Drosophila melanogaster: one gene and its partner. The protein of the gene in region 2 interacts with the protein of the main gene of each other region in a pairwise test. Each region holds a gene or a part of one and is shown on either strand. Other genes may lie near its edges.

Region 1 (3,835 bases), on a different chromosome or scaffold from region 2:
ATCGTATAAATAGCAGACACAGATCTGGATGCTGTATAGTACTTGAGTACAGTGTTCAACAGACAGAGCTTAAGATGAGACCCGAATTCGTCCTGGCCTTTGGTTTGGTTGTCCTCGTGGCGACCGTTTATGGTGGCACCGACTCATCCTCGAGCGACTCGTCCTCTTCCACATCACCCACTTCCAATTCATCGACTCCATCGACTTCCAGCTCAAGTTCGACACCCAGCTCTTCGTCCTCCACCTCAACTCCGTCCAGCAATAGCACTACGTCTACTTCGTCCTCCACTCCTAGCAGCTCTTCTTCCACTTCGCCCACTTCCTCCACCTCATCGACGACTGCCACAACCACGGCCCCCTCCACGTCCAGCGACACGTCCTCCTCCTCCACGAGCTCCGACAGCGAGGAGGTGGACAGGCTGAGGCGCAGGCTTCGCAGGCTCCGGCGGCTGAGGCGTCAGGAGAGGCGCCAGGAGATTCGCCGGGAGAGGCAGCAGGAAAGGCGCCAGCAGAGTCGTGCTGGAAGAAGGCGCCAACGTAGGGGATAAACCATCGGCTTAACCCGATCGAACAATGAAATGGTCCAAATTGAAAAATAAATGCATACACAAAAGCAACAATCGTAGTTATGACTTGGTAACTTGGCACCTTAAAAACAAGTGAAATCATTTGGATCGAATTGTTAGTCAAACAAAGAAATTCAATATTCGGTTTCATCTTGGAAAAGAAGAAGAAGGCTACACTATATACTCTAATGAAGAATCCTAAGTAAATCATTTTCCGATCTAGTTAGTTGATCAAGTGGAACTGGTCTAAGTGCAGACATAATTCCAGATGATAACTTAATCGATTAGGAACTTGCAAATGAAAGTGAAAAATAGGAGTTTGTTCTAAGTTTTCTTTTAGTGAGAATTCATTCTTTATGTACAATATGCCATCTTAATCTTTATTTAAGCTTAGAGGTTATTTAAATATGGCTTTCTGTTCAAAAGGCTTAACAATACATATTCATCTATTTAATAAACAATGTACCGTGTTTGCACACATGCTAACAATACGTTCAGCCAGCCAATCCAAAAAAAAACCGTTTTGTTTAATTACTAACGAATTAGAACTTTCCACAGCCATCAACAGCTTTCGCGCTTACAGAGAAGATAGTCTCGTCTTTTTATTGAGTTTAATCTATTTGTCTTGACGAGAACGTAAAATGTACTCTAAAACATTCAAAGCAAACACAGATTCGACAATTAAAGCGAATCAAGTGGATCATCCCTATAAATACTCGGATTTAAACCACTATCCACACAGTACTCCATTTAGTGACAAACTGAGCTGAAGATGCGTTGCCAATTCGTTATCGCCTTTGGGCTTTTGGCCCTAATAGCAACTGCCTACGCCGATTCTCCACCTGCGGCAGGATCCCCACCCGCGTCATCTCCACCGGCTGGAACCCCAACCTCGCCACCTCCAGCGACTGGAACACCGCCCTCACCATCCCCAGCGACTGGAACACCACCTTCAGCATCCCCAGCTGCTGGTACACCGACCTCGCCAACTCCAGCGACTGGAACACCGTCCTCGCCAGCTACTCCTGATGCGCCCGCTTCCTCGACATCACCAGCTACGCCCACATCGCCCAGTGACAGTGGATCCAGCAGCAGCCAGGAAGTGATTAGGCTCAGGCGTCGGCTGCGCCGGCTGAGGCGTCAGCTCCGCCGCGAGAGGCGTCAGGCCAACCAGAGTAATCAGAATGGAGGTGGTGGTCAGGGGCGAGTGGTTCGCCGTGTACACCGTCACCGTCGTCTATTGTAAAATTCACGAACATGTTGGCTACGAATTTGAAATAAAATTCCAGACAGAAATGCAATAAATCTAAAAAAAACATAAATGTATTGAATGGCTTTTTAAATTAGAGGAACCATCGCTCTTTTTGTAATGCATACATTAGTAAACTAACTTATATTTGCCCAACAAACTTTCTAAACATTGCAATGAATATTTCGAATAGAAGCGTTCTAAACATTGAAATAAATATTCTGATTAGGAAGTTCGTTGCACATATTTAATTCAAAATGACCGCGAAACGGTGCTGCCAGATGTCTGAATTTCGTGCACTGCGGAGCGGATCTTCTTTCTACTAAGGCAGGAAGGGTCATACTAACACCTCCACTTCTCACCAAAACAAAGGTTACCCCGAAATTTAATCAAAATAAATCGAAATGCCGGTGGATTGGTTCGGATATGTGTACGCAGCCACGGTCGCCGCCGGAGGAATCATGGGATACGCCAAGGCGGGTAAGTGACCAGCCCCCTGACCGTGGTCATGTCCGATTGTGCAACGCCCTGCATTCCAGGTTCCATTCCCTCGCTGGGTGCTGGTCTGGCCTTCGGAGCCCTGCTCGGCTATGGCGCCCACCTCAACTCCCAGGACACGCCTCGTCCCCTGCTCCAGTTGGGCACCTCCCTGTTCCTGGCCGGGCTGATGGGCGCCCGCTGGAACCGATCCGGAAAACTGATGCCCGCCGGAATGGTGTGCATGCTATCCGTGGCCGCCTTGGTCAAGAACCTGGCCACCTATAATCGCTACCTAATGCCCGCCGGCACAAAGGCCCCTTAGGCTAATTTCCGGCCACATGCTGGACTTGCCAGGAGATTGCCCTACCTTCATTCTTCATTCGTATTGAATAGGTTTTCTACTTTTCGGTGATTGGAACTTTGGTAATGCGCTGTGTCACTTTCTAAGATAGTGATTAGGAACTGTACTTGCTGCAAATATATTTTATCACCTATGCTTTTAACTTGTGGACTTCTTTGTACTCAATTGTAATACTTGGTCACATTTAATAGCATACTTTCAGGCACTTTGGTATGACAGTTCGCATAGAAGCACAGAAATACACCATTTCGTACATTCAAATCTTTTTTTGTATATTTATTGTTTAACTTAGCTTTTGTTTCTTTTGTGTGTGTGATAAATTTACAGTTTCATCTATTATACGATGTTCAGTTAACTACAACTAAAACTTAGCTATTACATTTTGTTGCTGCATGAAAAGAGCATTAGGCTAGGTAAACGTAGAGTGATGGATTTTTTTTTTTTTTTAGAATTTAGGCTTCTAACAAGTTTATTACAATAATGAAGTGAATAATTTGAGTTTTCTGCAGGCAAAGTGCGGCAAGGTAAGTATATTATCGATTCTCCACCTTTCTAGCATTTTCCCAACAGGAAACGATAAATATTTGTTAAGTAGAGTGTACAAATTATATATGTTTATCACATTGGAAAGTGGGATTATTATTAAATTTCCTTTCGATTGATTTGTGGCTCAAGAAATAATTTAGGTTGTCTGCCGAAAGTGCGTGCATGTGTAGATGAAGTTTTTACAGAATTATATGTACTATTTTACAAAATTGTTTGCATTTTGCATTAAATTAGATTACATAATATATGCGTGTACTGAACATAACAACATTGCTGGCTGCTGCGTTGCCCTCAGCAAACAGGCAATCATTTAAATTAGAATTAGCTGCGGCTAGAACTAACAACAAATCAATAGGGTTTCGTACAGAGTATAATAGTAATAAATTCTAGCTAAAAACACTTTAAGCTGCAAACACTTCTTCCAATTTCGATGGCAGTGACGTCTGCGTGCCAGTTCCAAACGTTCCCCCAATGCGGCTGCATTTTCACACTTTCACTAGAACGGAAACAGCTTCCAGTTAACCACTGCGGATGCCGGATGCGGAATGCGGTAACGAAACGGAAGCGAGGAAGAAAGAGAGAAAAACGCAGGAAATTAGTGATTGTGGTAGCATACAATTCTCGTGGGGCGTG
Region 2 (7,158 bases):
TTATAAATAAATGGCTTGGTTTATTAAACAAGAGAAATTAGCATACGATACAAATATAATGCGATCGTAAGACAAGACATATAGATCTCAAATGAGCTATCTTAACGGGAGTTTGAATGATTCTCCTCTGTTGCCATTTTTCAAACGCATTTATCCACATAAAAGAAGTGACTGCGATCTGATTTTCGTTAGTTCACAGCATGTCGTCGAATCTGGAAGTTCTCTCTGCGAACTGGACTATTCTGCTGGTGGCACTACTGTCTGTTCTTGGGGGAGTTTTCGCCAAGGATGATGCCTCAGTGCCCCGGCTGATCACCCTCCAAACTGGAAGTCCCGCTCCAGCCCCGCCACAGGAAGTGATCATAGAGGAGGATCACGATCATCAACATTATCATCCGCCACACTATCCGCCAAGCTATTCGTATCCGTATCCTCAGCCACAGCCATGCGGTTGTCCGCCCGGTCCTCCAGGTCCACCTGGTCCACCGGGACAGCCGGGGCAGAAGGGCTATCCCGGCCCCAAAGGATCCAAGGGTGATCCCGGCGAGAAGGGGCCGCGTGGAGATAAGGGCCACCCCGGGATGCCTGGAATCCCTGGCCAACCTGGTCCTCAGGGTCCTCCTGGATATCCCGGAGGTTCATATCCACCGTATCCGTATCCTCCACCTCCTCCTCCTCCATCACATGGACATGGAGGCCCTAAAGGCCACCAGAGGCACTACTATAACTACTATGATGAGGACGAGTATGATTACGGCAATGAGCGTTCTTTTGGTCTGAGAAAAACCGAAGAATTCGACGACCAGCCCTTCATTTTGGCCTTTAGTGAACGCAGAAATCCGTTTAGCACAAAAAACAATAAAAGACGAAATTAAAATAACATTATTTAAAACGAAATAGCTTTGATAATTATTTCTGTAGGTAAAAAGCAGATACCCAATACTTAAAAGGAACTTTCAAAATTCTTTTGAAGAATGTCCTTTTTGACTTTTGAGTGGCTTCGTTTATAAATGACACCAAAAATCATACAAAGTGTGGGTTTATCGATTACCTATAAAAATATACCACGCACTCAGCGTTTAAATCGAAACCTCTTTACAAACTGTATATTATTAGACATTTGTTAAGTCGTTTAAAATCTCACATTACATTAGGCAGAAAAGCTGGCTTAAACTATTAGCAAACATCGTCGTCTAGGGCGGTGTGGTCGTCGCCCTCCTCCTCCGCTTCCTCATCCAATCCCGCTTGCGTGGCACCAATCTCCGCGAAATCATCCTCCATGGTATCCACAAAGCTCGACACCCTATCATCGCAGAACAAACAGACATTAGAAACAAATAACAAAGACATTCGTTGGCTGGCATCACTTTTCAAAGTCGCACTGCGGCAGGAGACCCTCCTCCTTCGAGGCGCTGAATCGGAGCAGCGTGCACAGTCTGAGGAGTCCGAGGAGTATCAGGAACATCCCGGCCACATAACTCAGCCACAGATTGTGGGGATACAGGATCAGGCAGATGCCGATGACCGCATAAACAGGAGTGGGTCGCCAACCGCCACAAATCGCTGAAAGTCGCCAGCAGGCCAAGCAGCTGCAGGACCTTCGCTGGTAATTATCCCTGAAACAAATTGAATTCACAAATATGTGAACAGAGAAAAATTTGCAGAGAAAAATCTGAGCAAAGGCACTTGATATAGAGTATTGTATATAATAGTAAAGTATATCATATTATAGTATAATTAGGGTTTAATTAGTTTTACAACTACTAGGCTTGGTAACTAGAATTTCTATATTTCATAAATAATAACTGCTAATTATCAAATAATATATATACGAATAACTATAATTTATGAACATGTTATTTGGTAATCTTGAATAGTTTTCTTACTCTGCGCACTGAAGTTGCAGGAAGATAGTCACAAGCCACTTGATCTCGATAAACATTACCAGCACGGCTGAAAAACTAACCAGAAATTAGTATAGTTATGGGGGATATTTAGATCCGTGACTTACACTATATAAAGACCGGCCCGATAGCCATGCATGTAGACATCAACGCCAACGCCGCAGATAACTGAAATGAAAAATGGCTAAAGAAAGGTTCGGTGCGGGGGGTCCTTTTTGGCGGGTTGAAACGAGGAGTGTTATCCTTGAACGAGCCTATAAAATAATGTGAGTGTGTCTAGGCAAATATATTTATAAGCATATTTATTGAGCTGGGCCTTTTTTGTTTACCATGCTTTGGCCATAAAATGTAATACAAAACCAATGAATGGAAACGAGGTGAGCTCAAGAAGTTTATCGCAATTTTACTGAAGCTTACATCATTTGCAATAGAGTATTTTAAGAAGGCAATGTCCTACACATTACGAAATAACATAATGATAATTAATAATAAATAGCTTGGAAGAAACTTCAATATTCATGACGAACTTAAATTTTATAACTTAAAAGGTTTCTATATTTTTGTCGAACAGCCCTCCGCAGGGCATTCATATTCTAACCACATTATGGTTCCGCTTCACATTTTGTCTTAGCCAAATCCACTTTGAGTGTATAAGATATGGTTAGATGTGGTTATGGAGCCACCACGCCCAGTGGTCCATAAAAATACAATCTAATTAAGTTGTTTTTATTATGCCGGGTCGCGAAAAACCAATCAGATTAGCCAGTTAGATATATGTATATGTATGCCCCATATTTAAGCACAACTGCAGAACCGAAACCAAACCAATTACATTAAATGCTGTCAACGGAGATAAAAATTGAAAAAGCGGAAATCGAAAAAACATGCAAAAATTATCTGGATAATTGAAAGCGGTGGGGGAAAAATAGATGCCGGGCAAGAGGAAAACTTGGCGAATGGCTGGCGCCTAAAGGCTAACAACACAGCTCATTGTCGACCGTATGGAAAAGTTGCTGATAAGGGGAAAATCGGGCTGGGAAAACTCTGCTCTTGGCACAGGATGCCAGTCGTGAGCTGCAAGCTGCAAGCTGCATAGAGGCCAATGCCTTGTTAATGGCTCTGCCAGAGAGTTTCCTTGGAAAACCCCATCCCTCTTACCCGATCCCTATAATGCGGAGCTTATGAACTACAGAGATTTTATACTTTGTTTTCCTGCGTGCCACTGCACCCATGATGGACCCCAAAACAATTTGCAAAGAAATTAGTTTGAACTTGACCCGAAGTTTTTGTTGGCCTGCCTGCAGCTGGGCGATTTATCAAATTCTGTATAAAAAAACGGCGGTGCACTATCTTAAGCGCATTAGGAAAATGTCAGATGGTGGAGGAAAATCGTTATGATTGGCCACGATAAGCGTTTAAGCCAACTTTGATAACTTCACCAGATGGCAGAAAAATTGGGATGAAAAAATGTGATTGCATTTTCGTAGATTAGAATGCGGATACAGGGTGAAAAAGTTACGTTGTGCAACCAAACTGAATTCATTTCAGAAAGGTAATATTATTATTTATTAAGTTTTTGCTTCACTTTACCTTGCCTGTTTAATAAATTAAATTTGACTTCGTAAATTGACAAACGAAATGCCATTAAATTTCAGGCTGTCAATCTAAAATTATTGCCTCAATTTAAACGGAAAAAATGTAACACAAAGCTGGGTTGTACAAAAAAAGCATAATTGAATTGTAATTAAATGACGCAAAAAAAGGGAAATTAATCTTCTACCAATTTACTCTCTGTGTTCTATTTAATTGTTAAGCTAAACTGGAATTTCAGTAGTATTGGATGGCATTTATTTATTTTACCAAATTACATTAGGTCAAATATCCTGTTCATTAGAGCACATATTCTGTGCTATATGTGCTCTGTGAATATGGAAAACCATTTCCTTTTATGTACATTTATTTTGCCAGTCTTCTCAAACAAATGCAAAACCTTTGTGTACAATGAAAATATTGCTCAAAGAGTAATATTATATGAATTGAAAGGAACAATAAAAGCAGCCAATAAGAGCGTGTCCCCATTCAGCATCGTCTTCGTCTTGCGAATCCCATTCAGTGCCAAGAAATATAATAAGCCACAGCACTCAACATATCCCGAGGCAATGGTTCCCATGCACAAGTATTTCCTACGATTTGTCAAGGGTAAACATTCCAAATAAGGGCCAGAAAAGCATTGCACATTCATACATAAATGCATGCACATGCACATGCATCATAGCCTCGTATCGAGATTGGCATTATCTCGAAACGGGGGTCACCTGGGCACCGGCACCGACAAGTCTTATTCCACTGGCTCGGATTTCCGCGCACTTGAGCTTACCGAATGAAGTCAGCAGACCAAAAACCCTTATCACAGGACGAAGGCACTCGCACGGCTCTGCGGACTGATTGCGGCGATGATGACGGGCGCGGCGAACGCGCTGCGATTGCAGTTGCATCTGGCTCATGGCTGACTTGGTTATATATATATATATATAGATATTTACTTTATGAATTTCTATCTATATTTGTTTTATGAATCGCCAAAAGTGCGGCTTTATTCTTAATATCTTATTTATTGGAGCTCAAGTTTTTCTTCTCCTTCGTTATTACTGATGACAAAAGTCGAAGCCATAGCATTTAAATTTTTGATTAATGTGTAAGCTCCACTTACTTAATTTCCAATTTATTTAATATATTTATTCGTTTTTAATTTCACTTTAGAACAATTTTAGTTTTTGGTTAAATTCAAATTTTCAATGTACTACTTTCTAATCCTCCATAACTTTAAATACTCTCATCCGAAACTGACGTTTTAGGTCCTGTCCAAGGGAATCGCTAATAAAACAATCAAAGAGCCGTATCCACATCACAAAAATGCACTACGTGCCTGGCATACTAAGTGGCCAAACAACTTTGCGATAAATATTTTCAATTCCAGCTCGCACAGCTTTTAAATTTCACCATTTAACTCGGGCACACACTGCGTATTCGTAATGTGACATTTTTCGCACCTCTCCTTCCATTGCCTTTAATCACCGCACCGTTTGCTTGTGTGTGTGTGTGTGTGTGTGTGTGGCAACTAATGTCTGCAAATTACCGTTACCATTTGCACTTTGCCCCCGCACGTTGTGTGCCCTCTATAATATATATTTTTTTTATTAAATATTTTTCTTATTGTTGTTGAAGGTTTGTAACTTTTTTTATTTTTGTCAAGTGCCACTTTGCCACACGACTTTATGGCCGAGCTCTAAACAACGAACGTCCGCACGCTTCCAGCGGCGCCAGCAGAATGAAACTGAATGAAAGGACCGGCCAGGATTCGTTTCTATTTTCGGAGTCAGGATCCAGAGTCGCCGCTCAGGCTGCTTTTCCCATTGCTTTTCCTACTGCCACTGACTTTGTAGCCAAATACCAGCCAATGGGGCGGCGCTGCATTCGAAACTGCTAAGTTGATTTGTTACGAGAACGAACGCGTAGTGTTTATTTCTTTTTAAATGCGTTTTTGCGATTTAATGCTGAGATTTATGGAGACCGCAAAATTTATCCATGTTGTTTTAAAGATGTTTTTAATTGGTTAGCTGTTTTTGACATCCACTATCATTTGTATTTGAAAACTTATTTGGCGTTGGCAGTATGAGAATTCTTTAAAACTATGCTCTTGAAATATATTAATTGAAAGCAAGAATATAGGGCTGATTTTTAACTAGAATAATGCTTTAATTTCAATCAGAAGTTATTTAACTTGGTTTTTTTTTAGTATTGTAGTAGGAATACAATTTTTGAATTACATTGTTAATATAATTAAGGAACTCAAATAAATAATTAATTTTCTTTTTGTCTTCAGTATTTTAATTAGAACTGTTTGTATGTTTTATCTCTTTTTTTTTGTAAAAAGTGTTTCCTCTCGCGATTTATTGTGTAGCGTAGCGCATTGGGTCAGTCTTTATAGTCCTGCGGTTTTTTACAAGAAGGCACCATGGGCGAGAGCTTAATATTGTGTGTGATTTAAATATATTCCCACCCGAATGCTTACTTGATTACGATTTTTCCAAATGTAAAAGAAGAGGGAAGTATGAAATTTACCTACGATTTTACACAACGAAAATCTTACTTATATGCACTTGATAAATATTCTACCAGGTGTAAAGATAATCTTTAACTATTACAAATATTGAAGTTTTAAGCCTAAAACAGGATTCTCGGCCCACTGCTCAAAGCCAGCTTGATTTTATTTGTCACGTTGTCCTGTGTGTGAAGCCAGTGCCTCATGTTGTTGCCACTGCTCAAGCGGCTCTGTGTGTGCGTGCCCTCGTCCTGCAGGTCCTGTGGATCCCCGCACCCGTCTTTGGCCACGTTTCAGTAATTTTCATAACTGGCTGAATGGTGAGCGGAGCGGCGGGAGGTGTAAAGAAGCTCAAAAGACAACCAGGAGCAAAGCTGAGCAATTGCCAAGAGGCGGACGAGTACGCAGAATGTGGACAAAAACATTTTCGGTTGCTACACCGCCCTCATCCTCATAAATTAAATGGGGGCCAAATTCAGGAGAGGGGAAGCACGAGTAAATATTTTTTTAGCTCCTCCGCTTATTGTCCTGTGCATTTGCTAAGGTGTCTGTCGTCAGGCTTGTTTGCATTATGCGGCGTTAATGACATCCAAAGTGGCAGCCGTCGCCCCAAGGAAAGTCTCCACTGTCGCCGCCATCTACGACATAATTCACAGATGCCCCACACTCTGAAAAGTTAATTTCCTTAAGGAACAGCTCGAGGATTCTAGCGAAATACTTCTGAAGGTCGTCCTTGATACCGCCTCCTGCAGTTGGAGTCGTTTGTCCAGGTCTTCTATGCTTGCAATTGGTCTTACACTGTACACAATGAAAAAAGTTGTAATTTGCAAAAACAAAATTTTACATTTATTGTAATGTTTGTTTGTTAGTTAATGTCTTTTAGATATGGTTAGAGTTAATTACTTTGTAGCCATTTAAAAAAGGCTTTTTATAATTTATTGATCCAATTTGGTGTCCTCCTCACTTTGATAGCTGTTCTAATTTTTCTCATTTGCATAGCGTCTGCATCACTATTCATTTTTTTAAGTGCATTCCGTCTTAATGACGCTTTCCGCGCCGCTCACTTGGGAAACTCCTTGCGCCGCTTCATTATCTTGGTAATCCCGGCCACCATGGCCACCTCGGGCAGTGACAGCTTGGCATCCTCCTGGA

The links. Proteins that work in one complex are often made in the same cells at the same time.
Region 1: the proteins of CG14086 (region 2) and CG5532 interact in a two-hybrid assay, tested with the Drosophila melanogaster proteins (one large-scale study listed by BioGRID).

Annotation. Positions count from the first base shown.
Region 1 is NT_033778.4:23,750,611-23,754,445, forward strand, and holds CG5532 (uncharacterized protein), read left to right. Parts: upstream 1-2,143; 5' UTR 2,144-2,219; coding exon 2,220-2,295; intron 2,296-2,354; coding exon 2,355-2,617; 3' UTR 2,618-2,905; downstream 2,906-3,835. Other genes in the region: CG12491 (uncharacterized protein), read left to right, coding at 75-548; CG11300 (uncharacterized protein), read left to right, coding at 1,339-1,812.
Region 2 is NT_037436.4:19,273,843-19,281,000, reverse strand, and holds CG14086 (uncharacterized protein), read right to left. Parts: upstream 5,211-7,158; 5' UTR 4,409-5,210; coding exon 4,282-4,408; intron 2,073-4,281; coding exon 2,012-2,072; intron 1,962-2,011; coding exon 1,887-1,961; intron 1,617-1,886; coding exon 1,368-1,616; intron 1,304-1,367; coding exon 1,177-1,303; 3' UTR 1,082-1,176; downstream 1-1,081. Other genes in the region: CG14089 (uncharacterized protein), read left to right, coding at 201-875; CG14085 (uncharacterized protein), read right to left, coding at 7,067-7,158.